Arabidopsis thaliana: one gene and its partner. The protein of the gene in region 1 purifies or fractionates together with the protein of each later gene. This does not show direct contact. Each region holds a gene or a part of one and is shown on either strand. Other genes may lie near its edges.

Region 1 (7,514 bases):
AACCCAGTCTTGAAGAGCAACAAGGGTTGACAGCTGCAAAGAATCGGGTAAAAAAGGGTTATGCAGGGATGGTAAGGTGAGAAGAATGAAGCGTGTATCATCATCATCATCATCAATGTCAAACCTCACTCAAGTCGAAGACCATAACTAACGCCACCAGTGGATGTGAGTTAGGGAGATTGGGTAGAGAGTATTCATCGCAAATATGTGATATACATACAGAAACATCCGCAGTGTAATACTTAGTGTTAATCGTCCAGCTGCCCACATTTTACAGAGAGAAAAAAGTGTTCAAACGATGAAACTTGTTAGGGTAAGAAATTCTTCAGTACTAGACGTACCCATGAACTTCTGTTTGAGATGATGACTCCGATGAATCCTCAAATTCCACAGAGAGCAATCCTGTGATTGATTACATATTAGAGCAAAACAAAATTTTGAATCGGATCCGAGAGGGAGAAGCGCGTACGAGAGAGGAGGGTGCGCTTGCCGACGCCAGAGGATCCGACGACCAAAACTCCCGGTCGGCTTTCCATCAATCTTCTCCAACTTCGCCCGCCAGTGATCAAGATCCAATCTAAACAGATGCTAATTCTGATTTGTCGTCAAGTGAGAAAAGGCAAACCCAACGTCAAGTGATAATTTGAAGCCCAAATATCAAAAGGCCCAATACAACGAAATATTGAATGTTTTATCTGCGTTAGCTTGACCATGTATGGTCGTTTTAAGCACACACACACTTTTTGCATTGAAAGAAAAACAGTTGCCACAAAACACATCTCAAAACAGATTGTGTCCTAATCCTATGTGTCTAGTTTGGGTTCTCCAAAAAATATCCATTATTATCAACAACAGAAGGAAAAATGAAAATACAACATAGGCGACACTTCAGGATCAAAATTTACCAAACTGATTCAATATGTCTGTCTTAACCACATATGGCTGAAACTGCATAGACATCTGAAAACCCAAGTCATGCGAAGTTACACTACTTGCTGGTAGAGATGGCTTTCTCGGCTTGTGGGGCTGAGGGAAACACAAAGACACTTGAAGCAACCGCAGATGGCTGAAACTCAGCAGCATATCGCGCTGATGTCAAAGTTATCTTTGGGAGTTGCTGTTCACCGCAAGTCAGAGGCACTAGCTTATAACTTAAGACGTGTTCTGACTTGGGAAGGACTGAAACCGTATTGCTGTGAGACCCAGACAGGACAAAACTCTGTGCATCAGCCAGACCAAACTTTGCTTCTTGCAGCAACTGTGTCTGGTTGCAGATTCTAACAGCGTAAGTGAAGGGTTCTCCAAGAATGGCATATGGAGGAGAGTCCAAACTCATTACCAGTGGTGATGCCTCCACATTTACTTCAGGAAGTTTGTGCTTTGTTGAAACATATGCCTCTGTTATGTTACCTCCCTCTCTCCTCCATTTTAAATGTATTGATCCCAAACCAAGCTTTGGAGTTCTCGTCGTTGGTATGACTGTGAAAACCTTTTTGAACTCTTCCCCTGGCGCAAGATTTGCAGAGCTTGGGGAGTCTCCACACCCACCACCCTGCTGAATCAAACATGAAGTTTCCCCTTGTTCATCATCAAATTCAATGGACATGGACACCAGTTTCAGCGCTATTTCTGAGCAATTTTTGGCACTGACAACTAACACACTTTTTTCGTTCAGCGGCAGAGAAGACACGTCTTCAGAATCAGGGGCTGGCTTTATCCTATTGAGCAATAGGTGATCCCTTCTATATGGCAACATAAAACGATTGCTTATTAAAAGAGGCATCTTCCCTTCAATCTGCAAGCTCTTGTGTATGTGAACTTTTTGGGTATTGGCTTCACTGCCATGTGGCAAGTAACCCAATGACACAAAAAGCATCACAGGCTTGGGTCTATGCCACTTGATTTCCAGTTTGCACGACCATGATTCTCCTTCCTTCAGGTATGGAACAGAAACCAGCCCAAAAGATTGCTGAATTTTCTTTATGCTCCCTGTTTCAGACTCGGATTCATTGTTGCCCTCTGCCCCATCAATACCACAGATTTCAACATGATGGCTTTCTAGAGAAAACGGTTCTGCTTCTCTTGGGCTAAACAAACCACCACCACCCACATCAACTAGATTAATCTTCAATTCACCACTGTATACGGCATGACCCTTTGAAGTTACCACGATTGGCATCGCAAAATCTTCTCCAACTAGGGCAGGACCAGAAGCACCTAGACTGACGTCCACCTGTGGTTCGGGTTCATCAACTTGAGTAGCTTTCTGGCCAAATACTGCAAGAACTGGGTCCTTTGTTGGCAGAGATTCAACACGATTTTCATGCTTCCAGACAGGTAAATCCTCCATTGCAGCAGGACTCTCGGCTCTTGAACAGATTGTGAAAAGAGGCCCCAATTTTGCAAGAACTGAAAGACACTCAAGCTTGCCGCTTTGCTCTGCAGATGAAACAAAGAAATGTGTGAAAAGTTAGGCAGCCAAGAAAACAACTTCCCTTTTGCTTTCATAAGATAGATACAAGTTCTGAAGCTTCAGTTTTGCTAATTGGTAACTGAGAATACGAAAACGTCCAAAACAGGTTTGAATTTCAATGAATAACTGCAATACGTGCAAAGTGTGTTAGATACAAACAACACCCTTATAATTAAATCACACTAACCAGACTTGATTGCATATGTCAACCTTAACCAATTATTCGGCACAAGCACCAGCAATGGCGCATTCTCCACTTGGCTACCACTTTTCACAGTGTTAGACGCCGAAGCCCACAGAGGCCTCTGGGAATTTCTGATGACAAAGTTGCATGTAGATTGATTAAACTGAACTTCTAGATGATCTATTTCAACTGGAAGAGGTAAATGAGAAAGTAGTGACAACGTAAAAGAGCACAAAGCGTGAGGCTTGATCATTTGATCGTGAAAAGCAACTGAAGCTAGGAGAACAGGTCTCAGAGGACTGACAAGATCAATCTCGAGATGAAGAGGGCTATCAGTGGCTAATTTGAACCCACTTCCTTCGGTAGATGATAACAGCTCGGCTTCACGACAAACAAGAGTAAAAACTTCTTGATGTATACTTTCTCTTCCTGAAATTGTTGCAGGACCTCCAGGACCATAATTTTTGTTTCTTAAGTTCCCAGAATTCTCATAAGATGTTACAGGCAGGGCAACCATTTCAAGTGAAAACTCTACAAAATCTTTCAAAGCATCAAGGTTTCTCGAACACTCTCGCAGGTAACCCAACACCTCCCAGAGCAAAGTTACCCAACCTTCTTGTCTGTACAAGTTTGCAGCAATATCGAAAAAGAATTTTGCGTTGTTGGGATCAGCCAAATCAAAGTACTCCCGGGCTACTTCAAAGGCACAAAGAGCAGCCATCCTCTGGGCTTTAAGGTTGGTAAATGATTCATAAGATCTCTTCAGCCAAGCAATAATTTGAAGGGAATCCTGAACTCTCTTTGCTTCTGAAATTGTATACCGTGTGTACTCTTCATCCGTTATACTGCAAATACATTAGAATTCATACTATTAGAGATGGTGGTAGCATAATTAGTTTTCTTTTACATAGATTTGTGGGATGAATTATGAACAACTTACGAGTGAAGTGTAATAGCTTCTCCCTTCTCAAGCAACTGAGCGAACTGACCCACATAGACTGAAGGAGTAATAGATGCAGAGCTGCTATCAATCTCTTGAGCTATTTCAGACATTGACAACAACAGTTCCAGGGCAGATTTCTTATCCTTCAAGTAATGAGCAGCCAACTGCGTGTAAAACGAAAATTTCCCAGTGGATAAGAACATATTATATTTTCAACATACTGTACCTAGGAACAGACAGCTCAGAAATTTATGAGAAAGAGGACGAAAAATCCAGCATTTGCTTAGAGGTAGGTGTTTAAGTTTATGTAGTATTGTTTTTAACTAAATGGTAAAAGACACAGAAAAGATTTAACACAAAATGCACCACCAAGTTTAGATATGTTCCGACTATGTGTTACATAGAGCAGAATTGACTGACCTGATAATAATAGGCAGGGTAAAACTCAAACTCAGTCAAAGATATTTCCGCAGTTCCTTGGTTTGAGGATGTTAAGCTCTGACCAGTTGCTGAGCTTGTCTCCAGCAACTCAGCAAAGACAAGAAACTGCCTACTCATCCAGTCCCAATGGAGAAAAATAAATTCTGTGGATCCGACAACCTTTTCATATGATGTTTTATGTTGATGAAACCATGTCACTGCTTCTATGAGTTTTCCACCATGCAACAAAAGCGTTGATATCTTGAAATGCAATTGCTCAGCTATGATTTTGATCTCGACCAAGCGTTGTATTGCAGGCAACCTAGTCGATGTCCCGATCATCTGTTTGCATAAACAAAATTGCTCGTCGAAATTGAATGTGTGGAAACCGCAGGCAAAGATATGTAATAATAAGAAAGCAATGACCATATATGCATCAAAAGGAACTTCTTGACTAGAAGCAGAATACATATTAGCGTGACAGATGGGTTGGGAAAAAACAAAATACTTAGAGATAATAAAGACCTCGTGCAAGGAATGGTATGCGTCTTCATAAAACTTCAGTGCTTCACCCCAATCTCTACGAAACTCTGCATATACAGCGACCTAGCAGTCATGGCATGAATGAGCCTTCCTTTTCCCAGATACTTTGGAACAAAATGATTAGACTTAGCAGAGGTAACGAGAAAAGCTTACTTTAAAACAGTAGCGAACATTCAAATCAAGAGAATTGGAACTCCTTTTCTCAATTCGGCTTTTGATTCTCCGTCCTTCTTCTCTGTAATAAGAAAGTGCCAACTCTGCAAAAGCAGAAGCGAGTCTGCAAACATACCGTGTTGAGATGCATTGAAGGAAAAGCCTCTTGTTCTAGGTGCAAAGTAAAAGAGGAGAGAAACATACCTGGAGAGAGAGAGCGTGAGTTCAGAGACTATGCTGGAATTGAAGAAGAGCACGTACTTAGAATCTAATTCTGCCCGCTTTCGCAATGCCACCAGACGATCGTCGCTAATGTCCTCTAAAAACAAGTCGGGAAGGAGTAAGTCACCAGTAGTTCCGAGAGGAAAATGAAAAGAATAATCGGATAAAATGCGCTACCGTGGGGAGAAGACTGGACCACGACAACCACCAGTTTGATGTTTTTGGGACGGATTACGGATCTAGCAAGCAATTGAGATCGCAGTGTTAATTTGAGGGTTTGAAACAAAGGAGGGGAAACAAGGAAACAAATATAAAGGGAGATGAGGAAATACTTGAGGCTGTCGAGATCGGAGCAGACCTGTAGCCATTGAGTTGGATCGCCGAAGATGTGATGTGAGGGAAAGAAGGCGGCGACAAGTGCAGGGACCTTGGTGCGATGCTTAAGCAACCAGTCCCGTTTCAAAATACCGCCGCATCTGGAAGGAATGGGAGAAGCAGAATCGGAGACGCTGAGAGGATCTCTGAAGGAGGAGGTTCGGCTGATCTGATCATCATGAGCAAGGAGGAGAGAGATTTGAGAGAAGTCGGGGAAGGCCAGAGCGTTGATGGGAGGCTGCTGGGAGTGGAGATACTTAGTAATGGACGCGTGTAGCTCCGCGTATCCGAAGAGAGCCACCAGACTTACCGGTGGCGTCCTGAGCTCTTCCGGGTATTCCTCCATCTCGCCGGGGAGTGTCTGAGACTCGGACGCGTTGAATCGAGCAAGGAAGGATCTGACACATTCATTTTACGTGGGCTTTTAACGGGCCTTTGGATAAGGGAATGGACTTGTATAGCTGTCAGATTGTTCATCTGGCCCAGAATATGATGTGAAATACTTAATGGGTTTTCAACGGGCCTTTAATCTTTAAGGGTATGAACCACTGCAGTTGTCAGATCTGATTTAAACTAATGTGGTTTCTAAGGATGTAGTATCATCAGGCCCATTATAAGCCCACTTCTTAAAGATGCATCGACTCGTCAAAAAAATAAAATAATACAAAGAATTCGAATTGGTTGCATATACAGAAACATTGGATTTTACAAAATGGAAGAAAGAATTATTGGAAGAGAATGAGAAGCTGTCAAGCGGAGGAGCGGTTGATGAAGTCAATGCAGTCTGCAATTGCATCGGCGTAGAAAGAGTTAGAGCGACGTATAGATGTGTAATCAAGACCGTCTTCTCTGACCAGCGGAGGCCTTCTGCAGCACCAGCTCCTGAGAAGCCTGAAAAAGCTTCTCACTCTCGCACGCAGTCTCTTTGTCTTCTGCCTCAGCCTAATTCCTCTTCCACTCGGCCATCGTATCCTTGCTCTTTCCATCTTTCAACTCTGTTGCATATGCGTCAGATTGTTGAGTTTTCATGTATATGCAAATTATCTATATATCGAGAGGCGAGGGCTTTCATGTCTGACTTTTAGAAGTGGTTGTTGAGAATTTTTGAAGACTTTTTTAATGATTGATCTGGTGCCCACGTGTCATTTTATGCTAGAGGGAGGTGTTGGTTAGTTGGAAAACTAGCTTCCTAACAAAAAAAACACATGTCTAACGTACTCGATAAAAACATATAATCTTCTCATTCATCAAGCATGTTGCAAGAGGGCTTTGAAATTGAGTTTGAAAAGCAAAGTTCCATTTGCTCTATTAACAAAATAAAGCCCATTATTAAAACCAACAGATTACTATAAGGCCCAATATCAACTTCCTAAACTAAGCGGGTGAAGATTTTGTTAGCCATTAGTGGTAATTTCTGATCCCATTGCTGCTCCTCTCTCCGGAGATACAAAGGCGAATCTGACCAGTAAGAAAGATGGCAGTCGAGATGGCCTCTCAGTCTCAGGTCTCTTTCTTGCGTCTTTAATCCGAATCTACGACGATCAATTCTTCGCTCTCTGAATTAATAATATGATCACAGGTTTTGGTGGAAGAGAAATCGAGTGTTAGAATCTTGACACTAAACAGACCAAAGCAGCTGAATGCTCTGTCCTTCCACATGGTATCGAATATTTCCCTTCTTGTACATGCGTACTGTATTGGCTTAGACTCATTTTTTTCTGTAGATCTCTCGATTGCTGCAACTGTTCCTTGCATTTGAGGAGGACCCTAGTGTGAAACTTGTCATCCTAAAGGTAATCATTATCCTTATCTCTTCCGCTTACACACATTTAGTACTGAATAACTTTGCCACAGGGTCATGGGAGAGCCTTTTGTGCTGGTGGCGATGTTGCAGCTGTTGTTCGTGACATCAATCAAGGTTTACCACCCATTCTTTTCTGTTTCTTACTTTCAGCTTTTATACACTCTTTCTCTATCTTCGTTCGTTGACTAGGTAACTGGAGACTCGGTGCCAATTACTTCTCATCTGAATACATGCTCAACTATGTTATGGCCACATATAGCAAAGCTCAGGTCTCGCTATAATTTCGTTTTGTTTTTGTAAAATCACTCCCGAGTGGATAAACTCATCAATTCGTATAGGTTTCAATCTTGAATGGTATCGTCATGGGAGGCGGAGCTGGTGTATCCGTCCATGGTCG
Region 2 (5,158 bases), about 21 Mb from region 1:
TTATCAATTAAAGAGTGGGTTATAAAGATATACCATATAAGTGCTGAATGCATTTTCCATGCACTCAGAATCCTTTTTTGGCTGGTCTGAGATGAAATATGCAAGTCCCCTCATTTCCTTCCAAACATGCATGAAAAGATGAGTAGTCCGCCCAAATCTTAGCAAAACAAAACAATGGCCCATCGATGATGAACTATTGAAGCAACCACAGGACATAAAGTGAAGAATAATGAAAAATAAACACCAAAAAGCAGTTTTGGTAATATGGCAAGCCTATACTATACGTAAGTTTCTAAATACAAGACGAATATCATATTAAATATAATGCCACAGGAACACCTCAACATTAACATAAATACAAAGATGTGTATCTACCTGAACACCAGCATAGTGTTTCCAAGCTTTATCGATATTATAGTCTGTATATATTAACCGATAGCTTGACAATGCAAGTTCATAATCATGCAACATGAAGGCGTAGTCACCCAAAATTCTAATTTGAGATTCGGTCGAGCTATATGTATACCTTCAAAAGTGGAAGCAAAGTCAGTAGAGCTTATAAATATGTCAAGGTAATCATAAAAGGAGCAGGAGTTCAAGAAAGCATACATAGAACCTTTGGTGGCATCCGGATTATCGTCTTTTCCTTTTCTCCACAAAAAGTTTTTAAATTGATTTTTAAGACCTTTCCTTGTTGCAGAAATCTAGTGACACAACAAAATGCAAACTAAACGATAAGATAAGAGAACAACAAAAGCCTAAGTAAAACACACAGATGACTTGTTAGAGTATCTAAAGCTAACCTGTTGATTAAGTTCTCGAACTTTCTGCTCCATGTAAGGAATTATATGCCTTGAAGCAAACTCTTGCATCAGATCTTTGATCTGCTCCAAATATGCCAGGAAACGAAATATGATAGGTTAAAACATTCAAAACTGTTGAAAGGTATAAATCTAATCAGTAAGAGAATGTTACTCCAGAGCTAGCAGCCAGAAGCCTTTTAAAATACCTCCACAATATCATCACCAGTGAGAGCACATCCAAGTTTGTCGGCCGAAACACTTGATTTCTTTTAAGAAAAATTGATGATCAAGATAATGAACTTACAAAATTGACATGGATTGATGTATGAGACTTGAAATTATGTTGTATAAAAGTTCTGATGAGTGACTTACAAATGAAGCCCAGGGATTAGCCTGATGTTCCACGTTCCCCTCTTTAGATGAATTAGTGCAAAGTAAGTTGCATTCATTATTTCCAAATTGACTTCTCATCTCTGACAGAACTTTAGACGTTCTACAGAAGAAATATCATCTAGTCAACTATAACATTACATTTGACACCCATAAACTTATGACGAAAATCATATCATAAACTTATGATGAAAATCATATCATATAAGAGGGAATAAGGAACAACTACCTCTCTGTTGTTGCATCTTGATTGTCATGCACCAACAAGTAATGCTTCAAAATGTTTGGGTCCATTGTACCATCAGTAGGTAATCTATTGGAGTTGAAAAGATCTACAAATTTTTTTATAGGTTCTTCATCTTTTGATGAAACGACCAATAGACCTGAAAGCACATTTCGAATTATTTGGAACTCAACAGAAAACTCTATGAGACATCATAGATCAGAAAACCTAGTTTAAAGACCTGAAAACAACGATTTTCTAAAATCCATTTAATATCTTACATGCCACAGGATGATCGAAAGCTTCGTGGTCTGAAAACGACAATGTACGTATAAGTTCTTTATTGTAATACCGAAACCATGAGGGTGCAATTTCAGACTCTGGATCTGCAGGGAGCGAAAATACGACAGCATTAGAAAAGCAACAAGTTAGAGAATTCGGCTTCTCAATTATTTAAAAATTGTTAGTGCACGATGTTAAAGAGTTTAAAAAACTTATAAAGGCATTTTCCGCTAATCACAGAAACAAATTTGGAGTAGTGACTTACTAGAGAGTATATCAGTAATTTGAGGAGGGTCAGATTTCAAATCCTGAAAATCCTTCTCCCCAGCTTGAGTAATAACACGTTCTAGCCGTTGCTTAGCAACCTAGCCATAAGTAAATACAATCAAATTTGAGCTCAACACCAAAGATGCAGAATGGAGGAGCCTCAGGCCGTCCTCCACCACAACATAAACAAGTATACCCCTAAAACCAAATCCATCTTCTTTCACTTTACGTTATTCGTAAAAGCAGGTAATGATTTCAATATGTTCAATTAAAGGTGATTCACACTGTTGCTGGGTAATAACTGGTTATCAAGTACCTTAACTATTCAAACGTTAATATATTCAACCGAAGCAACTCTTACATACCTCTACGTTTGGTTGCTTTATATCGGAGGCATAAAACAATCTTAATGTAAACTTCTTTAGCCGATACAGCTGATCGCTCGATGTCCGAACAGGCACTGCACCGCAAAATTCACAATTGGAATCCTCAAATTAGACGTTTCGGATAGTAAACGCGGAACACAATCAACATCAAATCAAGGAATTCACCATCGATGTTACTAAAGTTGCAGAATGGCTTGAGCGTTTCCACAAAGGATAAGCCATTCCTGAGGAAAGTATCTTCAACAAGAGGCGTACATAGAACCATGACCACTGGACTAATTTCCTCCAATAGCATTTTCCCAAGCGAAGAGTTCACCGGCTCCACCATTCTTCCGTTCGCTTAACTAGTCTCTCAAACCTCTTCACTGTGTATCTAATCCGATTTCAGGTCGGATAGATTTTGGAGGCGGTGCGATTCAATAACCTAGATCTCCACCTTTTTAAGCCAATCGGAGCTACGACGCCGTCGTCGGCAGCTGCCGGACTTGATGTAGGTAGGAATGAAGATATCGGTAAATGATGGAGTATGTAGAATGGAGAAAGCAGTCAGTACGGCGTATTAACCGGAGAATGATCGGATGATCGTAATCGGGATCGAGATCGACGTAGAGGGAGAGATGTAGGCAAAGTTCGATTGGAGATTTGGAGGAGAGTCGACGAGCAACATGAAAAAAAAAAAAAAAAAAAAAAAAAACAATTTCCATCTATTTAAGTTATGTATTTGGCCCTATATTTAGGTAAAATTACAATATTTTCCAAATAGTTTAAAAATGTGCTCAATGAGCTTCAGTGATCGATATGGAAACCTAAAGTCATAATCACACCAGAAAATTCAAGACATTTTGGTCATAAAGGGAAGCAAGGAAGGAAAAAACGGCCATCTTCCAACGTAGTGAGGTAAACTAAAAGCATAATAGCAAGTAATCAAGGTAACACCAGAACCACATCTTGAAACTTGGAGAAACAAATATAGTTGATGGAAGAAGCAAAGGTTACATTATGCATTGGCACTAATCAAATTTGAATAGAGATTAAACTCGGGAAATAACAAACAGGATATATATCCAATGGATTTAGCCGCCGAGAAAGCAACATCATCTGGTTTGGTTTCGGGGTCATGTGTAAACAGTCTTGGACATAGCACACGATCATAAAACAACAACTTCTTCTTCAACTTGCTAGTGGCACGACAACGTACCTTAGGGTATTAGGCATATCAACATTTACTACCATATATATAGAATATATTTTGTCCCATGTCTGCCTGAATTGAACGACCATATCACTTGGGTGGGCCACTTCATCTCGGATACGCACAAGCGGTTGTCAAGATTGCACATGACGATCTCCTGAGGATCGGAATTGAGAAAGGGAGCTTTAGAGATGACTTGATAAGCTTCGGTGTGAAGATCAAAAGATGTAACTTTGGTTTCTTGGCACTCAGTGCACCAACGAAGCGACCCATCTACAAAGAGGGGACCAAGGAAATCAACAACACGATAAGGAGCAGCTGGAGTGACATACCTCCAAGCGTTGGTGCTAAGGTCAAAAACTTCGCAGGTGGTAGCGGTTTCTTCTATGCCTATTTCTGTAGAGTTGTATAGCCAAACGGGCTTGTATGTTGCCGCGAATATGCCTTTGCCAAATCCAAGCCTAAAGAGTCCGAGTTTAAGTATGTACAAAACTTCTCATATGTCGATCATGATTTGTTGATATTCGCAAAGAGGAAGAGGACGATACCATCTAGTTGTGGGGTTGACCACAAAACCCGGTTCTTTGGGATGGTAGAGACAAACGAGACCGTCACAGCTATTATATGATCAATGTAGTAGGGTTCCTTGTCCTTCTGCTCCCAAGGAGTAGGGATCCCACGTGCGGGGAGTCGTCATTATATACGGTCACCATGAGAACAACTGGATCTCCTGATTGCTGACGATGCGTCAAGTGTTTTCCTTGGAAGAATTGGGATTCAATTGTTGATTTCCATTGCTTCGATACAGCCTTGAATCGAGGCAGAGAATTCACCGCAAGTCTCTCCAGGATTCGCTCTACTACATCATGTTGCAGCAGCGATTCAATCCTCATGCAACGTTATTCTTGTCTAGTCGTCTCAGTACGTACGTATATATAGTAGCAATTGATGAATAGATAATAGAGTCTTATTTATAAAAACAAGTACTCGCAGACAAATCCGGTTTTGTACTCAACCCTTCCTCGAGGAAAATCTATCTTCGTATTCCCTCTTTCTTTCTCCACACGACACACGACAAAGATCTTCCTTCTCCTAACTAAACATAGAAACATCTTCAAACCCTATCTCTGAATAAGTCTTATTTAAGTGAATACACATCTTTTTGGTATGTTTTGTTTACTTTTTTGAGATTTTGAGTTATTTTCTAAACATTTCTACATTTGAAATATTACTTTATTATTAAAACATAGAAAACGTCTAACCGGTCGGACCAGGATGAACCATGATTCATGACCCGAACTCACACCCGGTTTTGATAAAAGTTTTAAAAGAGACTACTAGACGACAAAAACAAAAACAAAGACTAGTAAATAAATTAAAAAATGACCCGAACACACAGCCGGTTCAAAGTCCGGTTATTAAATCATTGATTAAAAAATTAAAAAACAAAGACTACTAGATGACAAAAACAAAGACCAGTAAAAAACGTTTTAAATATTTTTGCTGTAAAGTGTAAACTACATAAATTGTCTTTACGCAACACACCTCCACTCGCGCAGCCCAACCAAAAAAAAAGGTGCCCTGATTGTTTACTCACCCAAAGTTTCTCTCTTTC

The links.
Region 2: the proteins of AT5G65950 (region 1) and AT5G16280 fractionate together in Arabidopsis thaliana (co-fractionation; one large-scale study listed by BioGRID). This does not show direct contact.

Annotation. Positions count from the first base shown.
Region 1 is NC_003076.8:26,378,435-26,385,948, reverse strand, and holds AT5G65950 (trafficking protein particle complex subunit-like protein), read right to left. Parts: upstream 5,827-7,514; 5' UTR 5,660-5,826; coding exon 5,271-5,659; intron 5,178-5,270; coding exon 5,116-5,177; intron 5,036-5,115; coding exon 4,921-5,035; intron 4,841-4,920; coding exon 4,717-4,840; intron 4,627-4,716; coding exon 4,546-4,626; intron 4,363-4,545; coding exon 4,021-4,362; intron 3,765-4,020; coding exon 3,598-3,764; intron 3,503-3,597; coding exon 2,661-3,502; intron 2,440-2,660; coding exon 989-2,439; 3' UTR 614-988; downstream 1-613. Other genes in the region: AT5G65960 (GTP binding protein), read right to left, coding at 1-33, 125-260, 342-402, 470-536; CHY1 (beta-hydroxyisobutyryl-CoA hydrolase 1), read left to right, coding at 6,788-6,817, 6,893-6,973, 7,038-7,106, 7,168-7,231, 7,307-7,386, 7,456-7,514.
Region 2 is NC_003076.8:5,328,667-5,333,824, forward strand, and holds the start of AT5G16280 (Tetratricopeptide repeat (TPR)-like superfamily protein), read right to left. Parts: upstream 3,029-5,158; 5' UTR 2,680-3,028; coding exon 2,517-2,679; intron 2,426-2,516; coding exon 2,331-2,425; intron 2,064-2,330; coding exon 1,964-2,063; intron 1,803-1,963; coding exon 1,698-1,802; intron 1,577-1,697; coding exon 1,423-1,576; intron 1,297-1,422; coding exon 1,176-1,296; intron 1,070-1,175; coding exon 1,010-1,069; intron 885-1,009; coding exon 804-884; intron 705-803; coding exon 610-704; intron 527-609; coding exon 376-526; intron 118-375; coding exon 34-117; intron 1-33. Other genes in the region: AT5G16285 (F-box family protein), read right to left, coding at 4,164-4,436.